6 linked regions of the Mus musculus genome follow. Each later gene encodes a partner of the first gene's protein in a complex. Links are inferred from orthologs where the notes say so. Each region holds a gene or a part of one and is shown on either strand. Other genes may lie near its edges. The genes, in order: Smarcc2, Pbrm1, Smarcd2, Dpf3, Actl6b and Dpf1.

Region 1 (3,500 bases):
CCAAGTATTGGCAAAGAGTCAGCGAGACGAATAAGAAGTCTGCTGAGGGGCTGGAGAGATGGCTCAGTGGTTAAGAGCACCGACTGCTCTTCTGAAGGTCCTGAGTTCAAATTCCAGCAACCACATGGTGGCTCACAACCATCCGTAATGAGATGAGACACACCCTCTTCTGGTGTGTCTGAAGACAGCTACAGTGTACTTAGATATAATAATAAATTAATCTTAAAAAAAAAAAAAGAAAAAGAAGTCTGCTGAGGGCTCAAGGTGGGAGGATACTGGAAGAGTGTGTCTTAACCAACACATGAAGAATGCAGTTATCAGAGTCAATAAACACCGACTTAGAAGCCCTAAATCTGTAGCTTATTATTCTTTTTTAAGATCAGGTCTCACAATATAGCCCTGGCTGGCCTCCATCTGCAATGATGAGACTTAGAGATCTGCCCGCCTCTGCCTTCCAGCATGCACAAAACGGTACAAAGACTCTCATGCATGTCAGGCAAGTGTTCTACTACGGAGGGAGCTATGCCTTCCAGCCCTAATCCTGGACATATGTGCTACTCTTTCATAATGCACGCTCCCATCTCATAATCCTCAGAGCCGGACCTCTTAGTTCCTTCTTCTCTTTGACAAAGTCTAGCTAGGAAGCCCAGGGCGGCCACGAATTTGAGTCTTACAGCAGCCTCCCAAGTGCTAGGACTATCCCCATGTGCAACCAGGCTTGGTTTTTATCTTATCTTGTTTTTTTGTTTTGGTTTGGTTTGCTTTTTGGTGTTCCAAGACAGAATTTCTCTTTGCAGCCCTGGGTCTCCTGGAACTACTAGCTCTGTAGACCAGACTGGCCTTGAACTCAAGAGCTCTGCCTGCCTTTGCCTCCCGAGTGCTGGGATTCAAGGTGTACACCATCACCTTATTTTTGTTTTTCAATCTAATCTCATCATTTACATTTTAATTAAAGTTGTTTCATACACTGGGGGTATGTGAATTTCAGGTCACATAGCAATTATGGAATGAAATTCTCTGCATGGTTTTTAACTGGAAGCAATGGGAACGGCGGTGCAGGTACTTGTATGCTCTACTCTACCATCCTCAGACAACCTCCGAAGAACATGTTTAAAGGGTTAGGCTGTGGCTGTCTAGTGGTGTCTATCATGTCTTTGTAAGTCTAACAGAGAGCTTGGTTGAAAGTTGCTAAGTCTGGAAGGGTGAGTGCAGAAAGGACCCCAAAAGAAAATCATAAGCGGAAATCTTACATCTCTGGAGTCTTAGACTTGTTCTTGCCGTTGAAGAACTCAGGAAGAGCCCTCCGTTCAATGGCATGGACGCTGCAAGATAAATCACAACGGGTTTAGAAGGCCCAGGGAAGGAGTAGGAGCCCAAGGGCGGAAGGCTTGAAAGGTGGGGTTGGCAAGGGGCTCTAAGCTGTAGAGGGGCAACAAGAGAGATAACCCATTGATTATGGGTTAATCACGGGGGAGGAAGGAGGAAAGAAGCAGGGCAGTACCTGTTGTAGTCAAACCAGGCGGCGTAGCTGGGGATGATGATGTGGTGGGTCTGCTCGGTCACATTGTCCTCATGCAGGTCCGGGTTCTTCGTCTGCTCGCCTTTGTTGCCCGTGCTGTTCTCATCCTCGTCCTATGAATATGGAGGCTGCTGGACACTCAGCATTCCCCTCCCTGCCTAGCAGCCCTCAGCTTCTCCTACACCCAGGAGCACCAACAGGGGAGAAGGATGAGGATGAGCACTGTGGGCCCTGGGACGCTAGGGGGCTGGGGTCCGAGCAGCAGGCACAATTCAGCTATGGCGGGAAAAGCCCGGGCAAAAGGAACACTGTGATCCCTGTCCCAGAGAGGTGGAGCCTCTCTAAGCTAATCACAGAGAGACAGAGCCTGCCTAAACTGGCTGCACCTTGCCGGTGGTCTCCATGCTTTCATCGTCCTGTTCATCTGCAAGGGAAAGAAGACAGGCTGAGCCTCTACAGGAGCAGAGGGCGACGGGAAGGTGGGCTGAGCTCCCCCATGCCTCAGGCACTGCCTGCTTGGGGCTCCCTGGCTTACCCAGGTCAGTCATGGTGCCGCCTTTGACTGGGGCTGACTCAGAGTCCTTTTTAGTGTTGACTGCAAAGAGAAAAAGCATTAGACATGTTGGCCAAATCAAGCTCTCACGTCTCAGCTGCTAACAGTTTTACATATGCTGCTTCTTCAGAACCCTTTGAAACTCGTTTTCTATTCTACTGCCTTGCCCAGCATCTATGTGCGTGCACTCCTATGACTCTCCGGCCTCAGTATCCTGAGGGCTACTCCTGTATGACTGCTCTTTGTCTCCCTGCTTGTCTCCCTATACAATCTTTTAATGGACTGAGTTTGAGCTAGATCATGCTAGGTAAGTAGCTAGATATCATCCCTTGATATACTACTTGCAACTGAACCTAAGGCCTAACTTACGAATATGTCAGTGTTCTACCAGAGTTACAGTCCCAGCACCAAGGTTTTTCTGGTTTTTTTGAGGGGGGCGGGGCGGGGCGGGGCGGGGCGGGGCGAAGGAGCAGGGTCTCATGTATTCCAGGCCTCTAACTTGCAAAGAACATCCCTAATTCTCTGCATCTGCTCCTGAGTGCTGAGGTGACAGGTGTGCGCCACCACCAAGCTCAGTTCCCCAGCACTTTTTTCTTTTTCTTTCCTTAAACTTTTTACTTTGGCTTTGCCTTTTTCAAACAGCCTCAGGCTGGAGAGAAGGCTGAGAGGTTAAGAGCACCGATTGCTCTTCCAGAGATCCTGAGTTCAATTCCCAGCAACCACATGGTGGCTCACAACCATCTGTAATTGTAGTCCCACAGAATCCAATGCCCTCTCCTGCTACGCAATTTGTACTGGCAGACAAACACCCCTATACATGAACTATATTCATAACTACATCTTTACTTTTTTATTTAGTATTTTTTAAAAGAAAGAGACACAGACTCCATCAGCTCGAGCTGGTTTTGAATTCATTATGTAGCTCAGGCTGGCCTGCACTCCTGAACCATCCCTCTGCCTGCTGAGTGCTAGGACTAGAGACATGACCCACACTTGGCTTTCCTTCCTTTTTACTCTGAGACTGTCCCCTTCAGTTATGCAGGTTGGCCTCAGGGGTCATTCTGCAGGCCAGGCTGATTCTGTACTTCTTACATCCTCCTGCCTCAGCCAGGCAGGCCACTGAGATTATTACCTATGTTATGCCACCAGGCTGAGTTAAATGATGTGCTCTTAACTAGTAACACTGTTGCTTTGTTTTTTCCCAGACAGAGTCTCACTCTGTAGCTCTGGCTGTCTTGGAACTCACTATGTAGGCCAGGCTGGCCTTGAACTCACAGAGATTCACCTGCATCTGCTTCCTGGGTGCTGAGATTAAAGGTGTTTACCACCGTTTCCAGTCAGATCTTAATTAATTTTTGAAGACAGGGTCTCTGTATGAAACCTGGCTGTCCTGGAACTTGTGACCAGGCTAGCCTCCAGCTTACAGAG
Region 2 (3,500 bases), on another chromosome or scaffold:
ATGTGTGTACCACCATGCCCAGTTCCACGTGGTGCTGGGATTGAACCTGGGGCCTTCCAATCTGCTAGGCAACCACTCTTCCAACTTAGCTATTGCTAGCCCTTGTTTGCATTTGAAGATAAAGAAACTGATCTGAGTTGTAGTTTGGCTAGCATCATACAGATAACTAGAGTGGAAGGTCTGACTCCTAAGTGTGGATCGATTATTTCACATTACAAGTTAAAAGGTATATACTTCGGATAAGAAAATATTTTTTAAAATCCCTCTCTTGTATCTTTTATCTTTTGAAAGTGTATTAAAGATTAAGGGGTCTGGGTTGTTGTGTCATCTAAAATTACAATATATTCAAAACTAATAATTTACATTTTTTTGTCATTTGTTTTCCAGTGCGTTATAAAAAGCAGTTATTTTGAATTGCCAAGATAATTGAAGACTTTTTAAAGCCCTGTTAAAACTTAAATGCTGTGTCTTTCCAGTGCAGATAGAGCTTTTGGAAAGAAATGTTTTTCTCTGATGCTTGGGTGGAGGGGAGGAAGAATTTTGTAGAGTTTGCTCTCATGAGCCGTTCTTGGTTTGTTCCAGCTTGCCAACACTTGGTGTCACATGTGAGCCTCCCACATGTGTGCACTCTCCATTCCAGCTCTGTGATTGAACTCTGCTCTTATTGACTAGGGGGCACTTGGGCAGGCATGCTTCATTCCTGGAGTTGACAGTCATTTCATGTGAGTAAAGGTGAACTCAGTGAGACATTTCTAAGCATGTGGAAGCATTGGGTTGTTAAAGGAAAGAAATGTCAGGTGCACCTGAGAGCTGACTGATGTGCCTGTATCTCTCACTTTAGCAATTCTATTTGAATGTATGTTTTCTGTCTGTTTGTAACTCATTTATCCCCCTATTTCCCCTTTCTCTGCCTTGTTCTTCTCTTTCAGTTCTGAATAGACTAACTGAATAAGCCCTCCCTTCTCTCACGGGCTTCAGTTGGCCTGCAGACATAATGAGGAGATTGGCTTTTCGAGGCGCTGGTTGTGCTCTGGTAAAGCTGGTAAATTACTGATCATCTTCACCCTTTCCTGTTTCTGTCGTTCTTTACCTTTTCCCTTCAGCATTCTGAATTTTATAGTATTTCTTCCCATCTGAGTCCCTCCTGTGTTTATCAGAGTGTTTCCAAGGATTAGTCCTTAACTTCATTAAATTGTGGCATTGTGGCCAGTTAGCAGTCTTTTATAACAACAACAGTACCTAAGTGTTCTTGACTTAAGGTTTTAGAAGCTGTTAACCACTTTTAGTCAATTTCAAACTAATATACTTGGTAATAAACCAAAGCCTAGAGGAAGGAACATGATCACTGTGGGTTCTGTTTTAAACAGTGTGTGGACTTTATAGTTCAAAGCAAGAGACAGAAGACTCCTCTTGTTTCTTAGTTGCTCAACGGATTTTTTTGTTTGTTTGTTTTGTTCTTGCTTTCTATTTCCTGGAGATCCCCAGTTTTCTCTCTGTAATACTGGCAGCCACTGGTCTACTGTTGTTTATTTAGTGAAACTAATAAAGTCTATTGTTACTTTTAGCTTTAGGAAAGTCCTTTGAAATTACAATGCACTATTTGATACTACTGTTAAACTATATAAGCATTGTAGGACTTCCTTGGGTTTATACCCTTTAACTGTAGTAATTTATTTCTGTGGTTGCATTTCTTATAGCCAAATGCGTATATTGTAAAGTTAAAAAGTAGTTTATTTTTATTTTTTTATTTGAGGTAGTATGTAGCCCTGGCTGACCTAGATGTCAGTATGTACACCATTCTGGCCTTGAGCACACAGAGATTCCCCCTGCCTCTGCCTTTCTTGTCAAGTGCTGGGGTTAAAGGCTTGCACCACTGCACCTATCAAAGAATAGTGTCTTATAGGATTAGGAAGGTATCTCAGTGGTTAAAGTTCTTGTGCAAAAATGAGGCTCTGACTTTGGATCCCCAGCACCCACATAAAAGCCATGTGTGGGTGGTAGGGTCTGTAGCCCCTCACTGGAGGAACAGATAAGTAGGTCTCAGGCACTGACTGACTAGATATTCTCCAGGGTTAGGGGAAAGTGCTAAATGGAGACATCCAACATCAACTTATGTCCTGCACACACAGCGACAGACAGGCACACACACAGAGTTCCTTTTGTATTAATGATAGGGCTCAGTGTTGGAGCACTTTCCTATCATGTGAAAGGTACTACATTCAGCCCCTAGTACTGCAAATAACAATAAAAATGCTGAAGTCAGCAGACAAACAAAAATATCAGTCAAGCTAACAACAAGTGTTTGTGTTTCTAAATGTCTACACATTCGTTACCCAAGAACCCATGTGTATAGCATGTTCTTCCAGATCGTCTAATTCTAATAAGACTTAAAGCTATTTTCCAAAATCTGTGAGTATAGTGGACATCTCTTACTGAAAGGAAAGACTTAATAGAAGAGTTCAGTGTACAAGTTGCTATTTCTTCCCAGATAAAACAAAACTTACATTGTTTCACAGAGGTATTTTTATGAATTCTGCTTTAAGAGGATAATTCATTTTCAAGGTGTTAATTTTAGGGTACTTCTCCAGTGCTAAGAAGTTTACTGCTCCATCCCCTTTGCTTCAGATACTGCTTCTTAGTTTCATTTTCTACACTGTGGCCCACTGAGGTATTAGTTACATTCAGGAAAGCAGCTGAAGTTACTAACCCTTGGTAATGACCTTAGAGTCCCCATGTGTACCTGGGCCTCAGGGTCTTAGGGACCAGTGCTTCCAGTGCACTATTGAAGACTAGAGGACTAGAAGGATGGCTCAGTGTTTAAGTGCTGGCTGCTCTTCCAGAGAACCTGGGGCTATTGCCCAGCACCTACTTGGCAGCCTACAACCATTTGTATCTCCAGTTGCAGGAGATCTGATACATTCTTCTGATCTTCTCTAGCATCAGGCACACATGTGGTGCACAGATACTTACACAGGCAAAACACCTGTACACATAAAAAATAATACTTTTTTTAAAAAATGACTATACATGAATTAGGAAGCCACATTCCAAGATAAATCTGGAGCAAGAAATGGCTAATTTAGAATTATTGACATACAAATGTGTATACTTCTGCCAAATTTATCCTATCAGAGTTTGATGGTACAGCATTCTGATAAGTAAAAGGCTAAAAAATCATTGAGGTCTAGCACTTAAATTAACAAAAGAACTTAAAGCTAGTTCAATTCCTCTGGGGGGAAAAAAAAAAAACTCTATCAGCTATCTTAAATGAATGAGAAGTTTGGTGATATGTGCCCTGCTAAGAGTTTGTTGACATTGTTAAAGATTAAATATAAGAACTTGGCTAATTATTTCTTACAGAAGAAGTTGGATTCCATGGGTTCCAAGAGAAGAAGAGCCACCTCTCCTTCCAGCAGTGTCAGTGGAGACTTTGATGACGGGCACCATTCTGTGCCTACACCAGGCCCAAGCAGGAAAAGGAGAAGACTGTCCAATCTTCC
Region 3 (4,152 bases), on another chromosome or scaffold:
GCCTGGTCTACAGACCTAGTTCCAGGACATCCAGGGCTGCACAAAGAAATCCTATCTTGAAAAACCAAAAAAGAAATACAGAATCTTGTACCCTGCCCCCATTTCATTGAACCATAAACCACATTTTAACAAAAAGCTCGGCTTTCTTCTGATATAGGGTCTCCTGTAGAATCAACTGGTGATGCAGCTGAGAACCATCCTGAACTTCTGGCCCACCTGCCTCCTCCTGTGTGCTGGGATTTTGAGGATGCACCACCATGTAGTTGATGCAGTCTGGGGTTCAAGCCCAGGGCTTTGTGCACGCTATAACCTGAGTTACACCCCCAACCTGATTCTGAGGATTTTCAGTGCCTAGTTAAGTAGCACTATTCTATACCGTGGGTAGGAGATACCACATTGACAGAGGGTAGGTCTATAACATAGCCGAAGCCAGTGGTTTCTGAAAAGGTTCTCAACTTTTCTTTTCTTTTTTGGTTTTTCGAGACGGGGTTTCTCTGTGTAGTCCTGACTGTCCTAAAACTCACTTTGTAGACCAGGCTGGCCTTGAACTCAGAAATCCACCTGCCTCCGCCTCCCAAGTGCTGGGATTAAAGGCGTTTGCCACCACGCCCGGCTGATTCTCAACTTTTCAAAACTAAGTCCTATACAAACTGGATAAAACTTATTTCAGTACCTGGAGTTCTCTCAGCATGCAAAATCCCTTCACCTAAAAACATTTTCTGCGAATTACCAGGCTTCCTTAAAGAAAGGCACGGGCAAGTTAGTGCAGTTAAGTACTCGGAGTTGGGCCAAGCCAAGCTTTCACTCAGCTGGGTCACGTCTGGGGCCGCCCATGTCCTTGGAAGCGCGGAGCAACCAATACAGGCTTCTGGGGGTAGATGGGTGGGTGGGTGTGGGGTGCCTTATGCCACCGGCCCCGAGATGGGCTCTTAAAAAGTGGTTGGCGGCTTTCCCGCCGCGGATCGCTTATTTTTAAGGCTTGAAGACGCAGAATTGACGGAACTGTTTTGGATGGGCCATATCGGGGATCTCGCCGAGGCAGCAGCACTACGGAGCAAACAGCAAACACCTAACAGTTCGGACGGCCCTACGCGACCTTCGAACTCTGACCCCACGCCTTTCTCCTCCGCGCTTCCGCGTGCAGCTTCCGCTCCCGCTCCTCCGGGAAAAGGCCGCCTCCCCCAAGGGCGGGGCTCTAAGGCCGTCAGTTATGGGAGGTGCTGGTTTGAGGCGGGTCTCGCGAGGGCGGGATTTAAAGAGGCATTCTCGATTGGGTTGCCGGGCAGGGGCGGGGCCTGCAGGGTCTAGGTTGGGCGGGGCTGGGAGTTCGTAACCGCCTCTGGGTAACTGGACTCCGGCGATCAAACCTCCGGAGGCCGGGAGAGGCCTGCGGGCTCGCGGCACATCCCGGATCTGGAGTATCCCTGGCAGGAGCGGAGTCAGAGGGGCCGCGGGATCCTAAAGCCGGGCTGCAAAGAACTTGCGAACTTGGAGTAGAAGATCCCGGAACCCGGTAGTAAAATCGGGAAGTCCCGGATCGCGGAACGTAGCTCGCGGAGCGGACTCAACACGGAGACCGGAGGCCGGATCGCTGCACCGCGGGACGGGACAGAGTGATGTCCGGCCGTGGCGCGGGCGGGTTCCCGCTGCCTCCGCTGAGCCCCGGCGGCGGCGCCGTTGCCGCGGCCCTTGGTGCGCCGCCTCCGCCTGCGGGACCCGGAATGCTGCCCAGCCCGGCGCTCAGGGGCCCGGGGCCTTCTGGAGGCATGGGGGTACCGGGGGCCGCCGCCTTCCGCCCCATGGGCCCCGCTGGCCCCGCGGCGCAGTACCAGGTGAGGAGGGCAGGCGAGCGGCGCCGCGAGGGCGCTGTGTCGGTCTCCCTGGGGCCTCAGGTGAGGACAGGCGGCCCAGGGGACACTGCAGGAGGAACTGTCGAGGGCTGGTGGCGGGCAGGCCAGAGTCCCTTGGTTAGTGGCTCGGGGTTGGAGGCAGTGTTGGGGAAAGGGTGAAAGCCCTCTGCGGTGGAGGGCTTGAGCAGTTAGAGGAGTCCCGGGGCTTCTTGGCTCCGAGTAACTTAGAGATGGAGGCTTCGTGAGATCTAGAGAATTGTGGGCAATCAGGTTGAAAGTGTAAGACAGGTCCCGGAGTGGAGGTGAGGGAGTGACCCGGGATGTGGTGAGGAAAATTTGGAAGAGGGTCGTTAGTGAGAAAACAGGGTTACTCTTTCTTTGGCCTCGGTCCCACTGCATCTCTGCCTTGGCTTTCTTTCTTTCTTTTTTTTTTTTTTTTTCTTCCTAGTTGGGAACTGGCAGAGCGTTAGTATGTCTGAGATGGCTCCCAGCTGCTCAAGTTGAGGAGGAAGGAAGCCAGGCTTCCTACGAAATGGGAGACTAAAGAGATTGGGCCCAGATAACTCCAGGATAGATTAGAAATAGCTGTGTCCAGGTCTGAAGAAGGCCCGATCCCATTAACAGACCATTCAAGATATCCTCTGTACGGGGCTTTCCTTCTTGATGCCAGTGTCCAGTAAAGTTTGGAGGAGCAGGGAGGCTTTGTGGAGTCCTGCTGGTCTTGGGCTGCACAGGGTACTGCCCTGACCCTTCTGTCTTGGCAGAGAGCTGTCTCAGGTTGCAGCATCAAAGGCCATTGACAAGCAGAGACAGGACCCGTGGTCAGTGCATTGGGAACTCAGCCTGATTCTGCATGTGGCGCTCCTCATTCCCCAGAGCTCTGGTTCAAGTGGCTCCAGAATGTTTGGGAATTTTGTTTTGCTTTTGCATTTTGGTGCTGAGCATGGAATCCAGGCAGGGCTTTGCACGTGGCAGACGATTGCTGTATCAGGGAGCTGCACCTCCTTTCCTGGGGATTGTGCCCATCCTTCTCCCACATCCTTGTCACTTTTGTTACTTGCTTTTTGATACAGGGTCTCATATAGTCCAGGCTGGCTGTGTAGCCAAAGCCCACCTTGAACTCTTTTCTCTCAAGTGTCTGGCATTACAGTCACACACTATCACGCCCAACCTCTCTTTCCTTATCCCTCAGGTTCCTGACAAGGCCATATGTCTCTCAACCTATGTGCCAGAGAGGTGAGAGGTGTGCACTGTAGCTTGCTCTGTCCCCTGCTGGTGTCTCTAGGTAGAAGTCTCAGAAATAGATCTTCATGATGTATGCATATTCCACCCAGGAATCAGATTTCTTTTTTTTTTTTTAAAGATTCATTTATTTATTATATGTAAGCACACTGTGGCTGTCTTCAGACACACCAGAAGAGGGCATCGGATTTCGTTACAGATGGTTGTGAGCCACCATGTGGTTGCTGGGATTTGAACTCGGGACCTTTGGAAGAGCAGTCGGCGCTCTTAATCACTGAGCCATCTCTCCAGCCCAGGAATCAGATACCCAGGAGATACCTAACTGGGGGTCGGAGTGGGGATAAGTGACCCCCTTCATTTCAACTCCTATCTAAAAAGAAAATGACGAGTTTGGGTATAAACAGAGATAGACGTGGTTCCAAGGATACTAGCGGGGTTTATCTTTCCCATGTGGCTTTCTTTGGAGATTCATGGGCCTAGTATATCACTGATGAGTCTCTGCGTCAGCCCTTGGCTCTGCTTGTTTAGAGCTGGTCTGGAAGCTTCCTACAGGCACTGGGGATGTCTGTTTGGTTGGTTGGTTTTCCAAGTCTCTCTATATAGTCCTGGCTGTCCTGTAACTCACTATGTAGACCCATTTCCTTGGAAAGCAGCTGATAGAGAACATGCCATTGGGAAAGCCCCTGTTGAAGACTGGAAGATGGATTCCTGCATATTTTGTAGAGTAGCCTTGGGTCTATGCTGAGGCCAGGCTGGCCAGCCAAATGGCTGCGGCTGCTAGTTGTGAGAAAGGAGATAGCCTTGAATCTGGGCATCCCATACCAACTATGTTTCCTCTCCCCCTCCTCCTCCTCCTCCTCTTCCTCCTCCTCCTCCTCCTCTTCTTCTTCCTCTTCCTCCTCCAGGGAAAGGCAGGGGAAAGGAGGGAAGGAGAACCCAGTTAGCATTGGTTGAGTTTGAAGGAGATCCCGCTTGCTTCTTCCCATGTCCAACTTCCAGCAAGTCTTGGGATCTGAGGCCAGAGGGGCTCCTGGTTAGAGTTCTTGGGGTGAGCAGACTT
Region 4 (4,205 bases), on another chromosome or scaffold:
CCTACTAGGCAAACAAAGAGTTAAATATTTCCAGTCTGCACGCACAGACTCACTCAGCTTTGCTGGGCTTATCTGTAACTCTAATAGTGAATGGAGCTGGAATCTGAAAGTTCTGGACTGCTTTGTAATTGTATTTTACTTTATTCATCGAGAGTCGTAAAAGGCGAGAGCAGGTGGAATTGTGAACTGCAATTCAGCATCTCTCGGTTTCCTTTTCACTTCCCAGCCCCCAGCTATTTGACCTGATTAAACAGCCAAGGGGGCCATAGCCCGGCTTCTATAAGCTAACGATGCCTGTGCCCTCTAAGTGATTTCATGAGTTTTCGCCCACTCCGAGTCTCCCTGTGCTCCGTGGAAGTCTGAGTTCGCAGAAGTCTCTCAGTTTCTTCTGGGGTTTATCAGATTCTGAGCAGCCGCATACTGGGGAAGCCAGGAGTCACGTCTGAACATTCACTTGCAAATTCTTTTCACCTCCTATCTTAGTCCAGAAAGGTGACGCCTGAATTCTCAGAGCCGTTCCCAGAGGGGACTCAGGCAACACCTACCTCAGGCTCTAACAATTTTTGCATAGTTACTGACTTCCCTAGCTGCGTTTCCTAAAGTTGCCTCAAAATTTCCCCAACCTTCTGCCTAAAAAGCGCCAGGTCTCACTTCGCTCCCAAGCTGGCCATGTCAGATCAGTGTGAATCGTTGACAGTGGAGAACGGTGGTCGTAGGGGACCGCGCGGAGTGACCACCCGTGAATTACGTAACAAAAGCCGTGGCTGTCCGCAAGCCTGACACTGAGACATTCCAGGAGGAAGGGAGTTGCTGTCCTGGACTCTCCAGTTCTCAGAAACCGCCCGGGGAAGGTGGCTGAGATCAAGAAAACACTTCGGGAACAAGAATATTGAACAGCCGCGGAACCCAGAACATTATTAGCAAACAGTGGAACACGAGTAGTAATTTCTTGGAGGAAACTGCAGCCTTCCAACTTTTTGCACTGCAACACGGTGGTGTACAAGGAGCTCGGGGGTTAAAAACCGTGATTTACAAAGCCCAGAGCTAATGAATGGGGTTAAGTGGTTTTGTTGGCACTATGTAAATATTCTTGTCCAGGAGCGCAAACTCTGCAGTTATTTAGCAAAGTAGGGACTCCAACTAAGCGAGAATGCTCTCCCATGTTGTCTCCACGAGTTCCAATCTAAAAGGGCGCTACTAACACGGTACTGCCCCTTTAAGACCTGCTCGCTCTCGGGCTCTACAAAAGGGAGTGACCTCTGGGCTTTGACAGCTCCCCTAATAACTACCACCACGCAGGCCCCGCCCACTTGGCGACCAGCCGCGCCGATTGGCCGGTAGGCCGGTATCCCGTGCTCTGATTGGCCTGCCGCTTCCCCTGAGCGAACCTTTAGAACTCTGAGACAGACAATATTCTGTTACATTGTAGCAAAATGGCGACTGTCATTCACAACCCCCTGAAAGCGTAAGTAAGACTAAAAAATGTACATATTCCGCGTGGTTTCAATATGAAAAAAAGGCGCCTTGTGGAGCGCAGCCGGCGCCCGGCTCTCGCAGACACCTCCCGCTGCGCCCGGGCTCCTCTTTTCTTCCTGCTCTTACTTCTTCATCTTTTTTTTTCCTCCCAGCGCGCAGAAATGTCAGGAGATGCAATTAACAAAAAGAAAATTGTTACATTTGTGTTCTGCTTAATTGGCTGACCGGGACCGGGAGGGAACACAGAGCGGCGGCGCCGGCTCAGGAGCTGCGGGGGTCGTGAGCAGCCCGGGTCTTCACGGTTCTCGGAGTCCCCTGCCTCTCCCGGCGCCGCGCGGAGCTGGCTGAGGCTGGCCAGAGCGCGGGGTTGGCTGAGCCTGGCCGGAGCGCGGGGCAGAGACCGCGTCGTGCGCTCGGCTGAGCCCTGCACTCCAAGCCCGAACCTTCCCGGCCCCGCTGCTCGTCCACCCAGGCGGGCAGACGGACCGCAGCGGCTGCGGAGTTTTGCAGGGCGTTCGCTCTGCCTTCCGAGCTCTCGCAGGGAGTTTGTGTAAACCTTCCGGAGTTGGGAGGACAGCGCGCGGAGCGGCGGGTCCCGGGAGTCCTGGGGCCCAGGTGCTTGCCCCGGGCTTTTCCACTCCGGCAGCCGGGGATCAGGCAGGCGCTCCGGGCGGTCGCCGGTGTGTCTGTGTATTTGTAGGCTAACTGGCTCTAGTAAATTAACGATCCGGGTTAACTTGGGGTTGATATGGAGGCAGGGAAACTGCAGGTCTTATAAATGGTGTGCTTGCCTGCTCTGGGTGAAAAGCCGAGGCGGTGGAGGCGGCGGTGGAGGGCTCTGGCGACAGCGAGGGGCAGGTGCCTCCCGGAGACTTTGAGCGGACACAGGGGGGCGGGCTGCGCAAGGACTCGCGGGGGCCGGTTCCCGATCGGAGCTGCCTGCCCGCCGGTCTTCCTTCCTTCCTTCCTTCCTTCCTTCCTTCCTTCCTTCCTTCCTTCTTCCAGTCGGTGGACTGAATATGAAGCCGCAAGTCCGCGGGTGATCGCGGAGCCGGGGGTGGCCTCGGAAAACTAGTGTGGCTCTCAAGGGGCGCTATTGGCAGGCATGTTGGCAGAGGGTGGATCCTTGGGAATCGCGGCGCGGCGTGGGCACCCAGTGGGTGCCCGGTGTACTAGGACTTCCCCGCCCTGATGAAAGCCAGTGGGAGTCGGAGGGTGAGCGTGGGTGTTTAGTGCCAATTCTTCCCGGTGTGTGTCAGTGGTCGATCTTGGCTCTTTTAGCTGCGCGCTACAGCGTCCCTGGCTATGGGAGTCGAAAACACCGTTCGCTTTGGGGAGCAGCAGGGCGGCGGCGAGAGAGTGTGCGTGGGATTCCTAGTGCCAAGAAACCCGTAGGGAGAACCCGCTGCGTTTGCACCAGCCAACAACCAGGAATAGGGCAGGGATGTCCCAGATCTTGGAGTTTCCATGAGATATTGCTGTAAAGACGGAGGCTGAGCTTGATGCGAGTTCCTGGCTCCCGTTCTCGTTCGGAAGCTCAGCTACTTTGCACTCGCGACAGCGTCTCACCGAAGAGAGAAATTGTTTTATGGCAGAAGAAATGGGCGTAACTTCCCCGCTCCTCGCCGACTCCCGCCGCCACACCGCTGGGGCTGGGAGTTTCTCCAGAACCCACACACAGCTGATTTGCAATTTCCTCATTTCCAGCCGAAATCACGTAGCCGAGCTGATGCTGCTTGGTAAACTCAAGTCGGAGAGATCTATTTGCTATGTGTACAGGGTTCTTCATTGGCAAAGCGGCATCCTTGATGCCCGGGAGCGGGCTTACGCTCGGGCGCGCGCAGGAGCTCCACACTCCTGGGTCCCCCAGATCTTTCCACTTTTTTTTTTTTTTTCCACAGAAGAGTGCATGTATAAGAAATTGTGGGGGAGAAGGAACAGAGAAGCTAGAAGGTGGCCAATCAGTTAATAGAACTAGTTCAGATTTACACTTGTATCCCTTAATAATTGGAAATACTTGCCGTGGGATGCATTTGTAACTCCGTCTTGGCTCACGCACGCGGACGCTCACACAACACCCCTGTCTGCCTTTCCTCAGAGGAAGTCGAATGGTCACTTATAATTAGCCGCCCCCTTTTGCATCCAGTCCTCTTCCCCTGAGGGCTAAGGGTGTAAATAATAACCCCAATCGGTCAAGCTATTTGCACCCTGGACATTTTAAAAACTCCGCACGCAGGAGCACACACATCGTTACCGGGAGACTGAGGCCATCTGCTTTATTATTATTATTATAAAAACAACTTGTTTAATAAAACATCTTATACATGCCATTTGTTTCTAGAAGTTGCTGATCAGGAAACAAAACACACGTGAATAAATTATGCATGGGCCAAATTAGAACAAAGCATAGCAACCCAGCAAGCTGAAGGGATGGATGGGGGGGGGGCAGGGAGGAGGAGGAGTGAGGAGAATGGCTTGGAGAGCTTATGTGTTTATCCTTGTGTGCCCCTCCTGACAATGAACCGGAGCTCCAAACTGCATTAGCATTTTCTCCGGGTGCAAGCAGTCTTTCTCGTCTTAAAAAGGCAACATCACGGACGCCCCCTACAGAAGAAACTGGTCACACAAAGATTTCCTCTTGGGCCTGGGGATAAGCAGCAGTAGTTACGGTGTTGGGAAGAAGCCAGCTCGGGTTTCTTTCATGCCACCCTGTGTAGGGCTATGCCTTA
Region 5 (3,267 bases), on another chromosome or scaffold:
ATCCCAATTCAGCGAGTCCACAGGACACAGGACCACATGACCCTGGAACCCCTGCACTCAAAGGGATTAAGGAGATGAAATACACATTCAAGGCCTGGGCTTAAATTGAACATACACACACACACACACACACACACATACACACACACACACACACACACACATATATATATACCCACATATATATACATATATATGTGCATGTGTGTATGTGTATGTATGTATGTATGTATGTATGTATGTATATATACACACATACCTATATATATATACATACATACATATACATACATATATACATATAATGAATTATATATAATAAATATTATAGATAGCAAATATTATATCTAATGAGCATATATAATGAACATTACATATATTAAAAGTTGGGGGACTGGAGCAAAAGCCCAGCAGTTAAGAGTGCTTGCTGCTCTTGTATAGGATTGGGTTTGATTCCCAGCACCCACCCAGGACAGCTCAGCAATGAAATCAACGACCACACAAAGACGAGGACCAGAGTGTGGATCCGTAGGCATCCACATACCTGCCCAGTGGGCATGACCACCTACTTGCAAATGCAGACTCAGGAGGCCAGCAAGACCAACTGTATTAGAGAGCTCTGCATTTAATTGAGAGCACTTTCTTGAATGAATAGGTTGAAAGAGTGATCAGGAATGAGTCTTGATATCAACCTTGGGCCTCTGCATACATGCACACACACACACACACACTCATACACAAACCCTCACACATACACAAACACACACACACAGACAAGCCCACACATATGCAAAAAGGAAAAAAAAAAAACAAACCTCCAAAGGTTCTATTTGCAGACTGGGATGACTCTTACCCTGAAAGAACTGAGAAGGACTAAGGCCTGACCCAGGTCCCAGCTCCCTCACTGGCTACTGCTGATTCTTTGACTGACCCATCCCACAACAGCTTTGCAAATGGACGCTCCACAGGCCTGGTGCTGGACAGTGGGGCCACCCACACTACAGCCATCCCAGTCCATGATGGCTATGTCCTACAGCAAGGTAGGGCCTTATCAGGGGTCTGGGGTGCTTTGGGGAGCCCTGGTTCTGAGACTGCTTCTTCTTCCAGGCATCGTCAAGTCCCCCCTGGCAGGGGACTTCATCTCCATGCAGTGCCGGGAGCTCTTCCAGGAAATGGCTATTGATATCATTCCTCCTTACATGATTGCAGCCAAGGTAGGCCCTGTGCTGTGCCCAGATATGCCATCCATAGTTCTGGCATTTGCTTTATATCCATCAGTCCCCAAGCCCAGGAGATAATGCAGCAAATCTCCCAAAGGCTCAGGGATCCAGGTCCTCACTATCCAGACATGGAAACAGGCTTCATGTCATGACTGGACCAGATGTGTGAGGACCAGTTATGGAGAGGCACGTTTGTAATCCTAGCACTTGAGAGGCGGGGGCAGGAGGGTCGGGAGTTCAAGGTCAGCCTTGGGAACAGTGAGCTGGAGGCCAGCCTGAGCTACACAAGCCATTCTGTCTCAAAAGAAAAAGTAAACAACAAAAACCCCCAAGGACTAGGGGTGTGTTTCAGTTAACAAGCTCTTGGCATGCAAGGAACCTTGAGTTGGATCCCCAGCACCATATAAACCTTGGTTGTGTGAAGGCCTGGATGACATAAATCCCATCTCAAACCAAACCAAACCAAACCAAAACCAAAAGACGAACATGAAGAGCCATGAAACCCAGAGTATCATATGAAAGCTTCCCAGATATGAGAGAGAGAGAGAGAGAAAGAGAGAGAGCGCTAAATTGAACTAGCAATCCTCCAGCTTTTACTTCGCTTTGCTGGAGAACACCACACCAGGTTTCATCGGACGGGGATGGAACCCAGGGCTTCCTGAATGCTAAGCAAGTACTCTACCCACTTCTGGCTCAGTTCCTTCTGATCACATTTGCAGTGTAGGTTTCATGTATGGGACAGCCTGTCATTGTCTTCACTTCCCTGTCAGGGAAGGCTGACAAGCCACTCTATCTCCTGGGAGACAGAGCAGAATCTCAGGGCTGGTCAGCTGCAGAGCTGTCTGAGCTCCAGGGAGGCGAGCGTGTGCCAATGGGCAGGGCAAGCACCAACTGGGAAGGACTCTCAAAGGCTGTGTCCTCACAGGAGCCTGTACGGGAGGGAGCCCCCCCAAACTGGAAGAAGAAGGAGAAGCTACCCCAAGTCTCCAAGTCCTGGCATAACTACATGTGTAACGTGAGGCTGTAGCTGAAAACAGTTTCCCTACTCTCTTCCCACCCCTGTCAGTCCCTGGCACCTTGCTATAACCAGGGGAGGGGAGGGGATGGCTGTGGATGGGTTGGGGTTGGGGTTGGGGTTGGGGTTGGGGGTGGGGGTGGGGCTCTCGATAGAGACAGAGGGCAGCCAGACCTCACCCCTCCCTGCTTCTCAGGAGGTGATCCAAGACTTCCAGGCCTCCGTACTGCAGGTGTCTGATTCCCCTTACGATGAACAGTGAGTTGGGCTGAGCACCGCATGGTGGTAAGGAGGGTAGGATTGATTGACGCTGGGAATGCTATGGCTCCTGTAATGTCAATACTCAGGAAGGCTGAGGCAGAAAGATCGAGAGAGTCTCAGGTCAGTGTGGCCTACATAGCAGAACCCTCTCTCAAAAAGTGTGTGTGTGTGTGTGTGTGTGTGTGTGTGTGTGTGTGTGTGTGTAAAGGCACTGGGACTATAGCTCGGTTTGCCTGTATGTATAAAGTTCAGTCTCACTTAGGGGCCACGGTTGTACAAGCCTGAAAGCCAGTGCTTAGGAGTTGGAGACAAGGAGTCCAGGAGTTCAAGGCCAGCTTCTGCTACTTATTGAGTTGGAGGCATGATTGGGCTACATGAGAACCCCATTTCAAAAAACAAAGATGGGCACAGAACTGGGGTTCATGGGAACCCCTAGAGCACCCCACCTGGCACCACATCACACAGAGTCTTGCTCCTTTCTTGGGCAGGGTAGCTGCACAAATGCCCACTGTGCATTATGAAATGCCCAATGGCTACAACACAGACTACGGCGCTGAGCGACTTCGAATCCCTGAGGGCCTGTTTGATCCCTCTAATGTCAAGGTTTGGCTGGATGCTGAGGACTAGTTGGGGTTGGGGTTAGGGTTGCCTAAAGTCTTGGATCCAGAGGTGTAGTGAAGGAGTCTGGAAAAGATGATAGGAGTCTAGGGGAGAGGGAGGGAGAGGCCCCAAGTCCATATCACCTCTGTCCACAGGGCCTGTCCGGGAATA
Region 6 (3,500 bases), on another chromosome or scaffold:
GGGTACAGCCCTCGCTCCCCTTGCCTCCCATTCCCTAAATCCAGATTCTGAGATGCCCTCTCCCCGCCATCTTCCAGAAAATATGTGGTGAGTGTCACCTGATCGCCCACAGTCCGCACAGGAGATGAGGTCCTCGGGACACCCAGTCTTCTTGGAGCCCCCCAGGCAAAAGTCACAGTAGCCATTGGGGATGACAGTGCCATCTGGTGCTTTCTTGGCTGAAAGACAGCAGGCAGCGGTGGGCACAGGACAGGTGAGGCGTGCCAGTCAAAGACTGCTGCAGAAGTCGGGGAGGAGGGAGGTGCCCCTACCTGTGTGTTTCCTCTGTGCCTCGGGGACCCAGGCCAATTCTTTGTAAAACTCTGGGGGTGGGGGGACAGAAAGGGGCTCTTACCATAGGCAAGGTCCCATCTGTCCCCAGCCTCAGCCCCAGGGGCGGGACCCTTGGCCCAGGCACTGGGAAGTAGCAAGGAAGCTGGGGGAGGGGCAAGCCATTCTCACCAGAACCCTAACTCTTGGGGTAACCATACGTTCTATTTGGGTAAAAGTCTGAGAGATAGGTATAACCTTAGCAAGAGCCCATGGCTGCCCCCATCATGTAGGGGGCACCCCCTTAGGCACCCCTAAGTAAGTTTGCCTAGGCCAACGATTAGCAGACAGTTCTGCAAAGCCTAATCAGGGCATTTTTACAGCACAGAGGGCTCTGGGCCAGGCCTGAGGTTTTTGGAGAGGCTCTCTTTGAGGGACAGGTGAGAGATAGTCCACTTCCTCCGTGGCTCAGCTGTCATCATGGCATGGAACAGCCATGGGTGGGTGTCAAGGACCCTGGGGGCCACCGACCTTGCCCTGGATCCTAACATAGTAGAGAAGGAGACGAGGGAGGTCTGGGGTGGGGGTGGGGAAGTCATCTACCACCCCCCTCAGAGCTCTAATTGAAACAATAAATCAGACCCAGAAATATTATGCCCGGGCAGGGAATGAGGGAGAGAGAGAGAGAGAGAGAGAGAGAGAGAGAGAGAGAGAGAGAGAATGAGGGAGGGGGAGGGAGAGGGAGAGAGAGAGAGAGAGAGAGAGAGAGAGAGAGAGAGAGAGAGAGAGAGAGTTGGTTGTCATGACAACCCCAGAGCCAGCATCCCTATGGTTGGTGGAGGAGGGAACCGTTAAGCTGAAGATTTTCCAGAAATGTCTAAATGTGCCCCCACCTCCCCGTCCGCAGACATTTCCAGGCTCCATTGCTCCCGCCCCACCCCTGGCACCTCACCCACCAGCCTTGACCCTCCAACTCACGTTTATGGTTGTTTTTCCGGTGGAAAGGCAGGGCGTGGCGTTCAGTGTGCTCCTCCCCCTCCTCCTCAGCCAGGTGGGTGTGGGTGTAATGGTAGCTGAGTCCTGGCCGGTTCTTATATCTCTTCCCACAGACTGGAGGGGAAGTGAGTGGGTGATTGTCAGACTCCGGGGCCACCTCCTCCACCCTGGCCTCCAGGTTCACACCACCTGCTCTGCTGAGGGCCATAAGGGAGAGGTCACTGCCCCCCCCCCAACCCCCATCTCTCTTTCCCCTCTGCAGAACTCACTATCACAGACGTACGGCTTGTCTCGGTCCTCCAGGGATGCGGTGTCCTGGCGTTTGCGGAGACCTCCAATGCCATATGCCTGTAGGGAGGAGGGTTAGGAGTAAGGAGCTGGAAAGCCAGGGAAAGAAAGGCTCATCATTCTTGGGGTTTTTGAGTTTGTCGTCGTTGTTGCTGTTGTTGCTTGAGACAGGGTCTCATTATGTAGCCCTGCCTGACCTGGAATTCACTCTGTAGATCAGGCTGGCCTTAAACATGCAGTGGCCCTCCTGCTTCTGAATTATGGGATATGTGCTACCATGCCTTAGTGGGCTTCTTCGTTTAGACTTGAAAGTCAAACTGAAGAAAAAAATTAAAGTTTTTCTTTTCAGCACTGGGGGCGTGGCTCAGTGACAGAGCAGGTGTCATGTGAGTGTGAGATTCTGGGTGCCAGAACCACACAACGATAATGAAATCTTCCCCACTAAAACTGGGCACAGTTTCTAGTGGTGAGCCTTTGAATTTCTCTCGGTACACCTATGAAGATAATTCTTCTTGTTGTTGTTTTGAGACAGGGTCTCTCCACACAGTCCTAGCTACCTGCGAACTCACTCTATAGATCAGGCTGGCCTTGAACTCAGAGATCCTCTTGCCTCTGCCTCTCCAGTGCTGGGAGTAAATCTGTGTTCCAACACCTTTTTATTGTTCTTATTAGAGGTTGTGAGTGTGTGTGTGTGTGTGTGTGTGTGTGTGTGTGCATGTATATGTGTGTTTATGTGTACATGTGGAGTGTATATTTGTACACATGTATTTGTATGTGTGTGTACATGTTTGTATGTGTGTGTATTTGTAAGTGTGTGTGTTTATGTGAGTGTGTTTGTATGTGTGTGCATGGTGCGTGTGTGTGTTTGTGTGTGTTGCTGATGTTGTTGTCTGGGTAGCTGGTTTGGTTTAGGATTTTTTTTTTTTAATCTCTTTTTGCACACGATCTCTTTATTTAGTTCAGAATAGCCTGGAATTCACTTGTCTCAAACTTGTAGCAATTCTCCTGCCTCAGCCTCCCAGGTGCTGGGATTACAAGTGTGGGCTACCACACCCAGCTCTGCAAGACAGTTCTGATCCACAAGCTCCATTTTCGAAAAAGTTTATAATCCACTGAGTTTCCATTTCCTCACCCATAAAAATGGGTGCAAAGCCCTCTACTCCTTTACGTGGCTCTGGGGAGGAGGCGGGAGGGAAGCTGCTGGAAGGTACCTTTCCTCTTGCCCTGTTCTTCCTCCTGGGAATGTCTTCCTCCAAGTCTTCTACCTCGAGATCATGCGGAAACTCCAGCAACTGCTGTTTCTGGGCCCAGTAGAAGGGAGATTGGGGGGTCAAGAAGGTGGGGGCACTGATGTGCTGCAGGTAGGGTGGGGGAGCAGGTCAGGGACCCTTCTACAAGCAGAGGTGTTCTGGGAGATCGGGGCCATAGGGTACCCAGAGGCCCTGAGGAGCCGGGCATCTCAGAGCAGGAAGGCATAGTGGTGAGAGCATCTGCAGCCGGGGAGGGGCTCCTTACCTGACAGTCCATGATGGTCTCCTCCTCCTTCAGCTCCACTTTCTTCTCTCCAGTCTCAGCACACAGCAGAGCCTCGAGGACTGGCCCTTCCGGGAGGCCACCCTCCTTCTTCAGAGGTGCCTCACAATCTGGGGACGGGCCACAGGGAAAGTGGTATCAGTTGAAGAGGCTGTGGCCAAAGTGCCCGGGTTGCAGGGGGTGGGGGTGGGGGCATGGTCCTTTCGACAGGGACAGGCTCTCCCACACTGTCCCACACACAGCCAACAATGGACAGAAGGATTCGACTCAAGCCCTGGAAAGAATATCCATACACTGGGAAGGCACAGCCACACCCTCAGCTCTACTAGATAAAGAAGACAGAACCAGACTCCAATACACTGGCAACCCTTAGG

Evidence for each region.
Region 2: Smarcc2 (region 1) and Pbrm1 share a complex: the UniProt entries of both Homo sapiens proteins name them as parts of the SWI/SNF-B (PBAF) chromatin remodeling complex. The link is inferred for Mus musculus from reciprocal best matches to the Homo sapiens genes SMARCC2 and PBRM1.
Region 3: Smarcc2 (region 1) and Smarcd2 share a complex: the UniProt entries of both Homo sapiens proteins name them as parts of the BAF complex. The link is inferred for Mus musculus from reciprocal best matches to the Homo sapiens genes SMARCC2 and SMARCD2.
Region 4: Smarcc2 (region 1) and Dpf3 share a complex: the UniProt entries of both Homo sapiens proteins name them as parts of the BAF complex. The link is inferred for Mus musculus from reciprocal best matches to the Homo sapiens genes SMARCC2 and DPF3.
Region 5: Smarcc2 (region 1) and Actl6b share a complex: the UniProt entries of both Homo sapiens proteins name them as parts of the BAF complex. The link is inferred for Mus musculus from reciprocal best matches to the Homo sapiens genes SMARCC2 and ACTL6B.
Region 6: Smarcc2 (region 1) and Dpf1 share a complex: the UniProt entries of both Homo sapiens proteins name them as parts of the neuron-specific chromatin remodeling complex. The link is inferred for Mus musculus from reciprocal best matches to the Homo sapiens genes SMARCC2 and DPF1.

What each region holds. Positions count from the first base shown.
Region 1 is NC_000076.6:128,472,815-128,476,314, reverse strand, and holds part of Smarcc2 (SWI/SNF complex subunit SMARCC2), read right to left. Parts: intron 2,115-3,500; coding exon 2,055-2,114; intron 1,944-2,054; coding exon 1,906-1,943; intron 1,633-1,905; coding exon 1,502-1,632; intron 1,323-1,501; coding exon 1,251-1,322; intron 1-1,250. UniProt on the Homo sapiens protein: Involved in transcriptional activation and repression of select genes by chromatin remodeling (alteration of DNA-nucleosome topology).
Region 2 is NC_000080.6:31,022,138-31,025,637, forward strand, and holds part of Pbrm1 (protein polybromo-1), read left to right. Parts: intron 1-582; 5' UTR 583-722; intron 723-929; exon of another isoform or gene 930-994; coding exon of another isoform or gene 995-1,042; intron 1,043-3,360; coding exon of another isoform or gene 3,361-3,375; coding exon 3,376-3,500. UniProt on the Homo sapiens protein: Involved in transcriptional activation and repression of select genes by chromatin remodeling (alteration of DNA-nucleosome topology). Required for the stability of the SWI/SNF chromatin remodeling complex SWI/SNF-B (PBAF).
Region 3 is NC_000077.6:106,270,173-106,274,324, reverse strand, and holds the start of Smarcd2 (SWI/SNF-related matrix-associated actin-dependent regulator of chromatin subfamily D member 2), read left to right. Parts: upstream 1-1,352; 5' UTR 1,353-1,616; coding exon 1,617-1,832; coding exon of another isoform or gene 1,833-1,892; intron 1,893-4,152. Other genes in the region: Tcam1 (testicular cell adhesion molecule 1), read right to left, coding at 674-691. UniProt on the Homo sapiens protein: Involved in transcriptional activation and repression of select genes by chromatin remodeling (alteration of DNA-nucleosome topology).
Region 4 is NC_000078.6:83,484,937-83,489,141, reverse strand, and holds the start of Dpf3 (zinc finger protein DPF3), read left to right. Parts: upstream 1-1,405; 5' UTR 1,406-1,433; coding exon 1,434-1,465; intron 1,466-4,205. UniProt on the Homo sapiens protein: Belongs to the neuron-specific chromatin remodeling complex (nBAF complex).
Region 5 is NC_000071.6:137,563,546-137,566,812, forward strand, and holds part of Actl6b (actin-like protein 6B), read left to right. Parts: intron 1-945; coding exon 946-1,040; intron 1,041-1,107; coding exon 1,108-1,214; intron 1,215-2,145; coding exon 2,146-2,235; intron 2,236-2,431; coding exon 2,432-2,493; intron 2,494-2,984; coding exon 2,985-3,099; intron 3,100-3,251; coding exon 3,252-3,267. UniProt on the Homo sapiens protein: Involved in transcriptional activation and repression of select genes by chromatin remodeling (alteration of DNA-nucleosome topology).
Region 6 is NC_000073.6:29,311,001-29,314,500, reverse strand, and holds part of Dpf1 (zinc finger protein neuro-d4), read right to left. Parts: intron 3,237-3,500; coding exon 3,109-3,236; intron 2,895-3,108; coding exon 2,805-2,894; intron 1,654-2,804; coding exon 1,575-1,653; intron 1,420-1,574; coding exon 1,288-1,419; intron 363-1,287; coding exon 312-362; intron 219-311; coding exon 99-218; intron 1-98. UniProt on the Homo sapiens protein: May have an important role in developing neurons by participating in regulation of cell survival, possibly as a neurospecific transcription factor. Belongs to the neuron-specific chromatin remodeling complex (nBAF complex).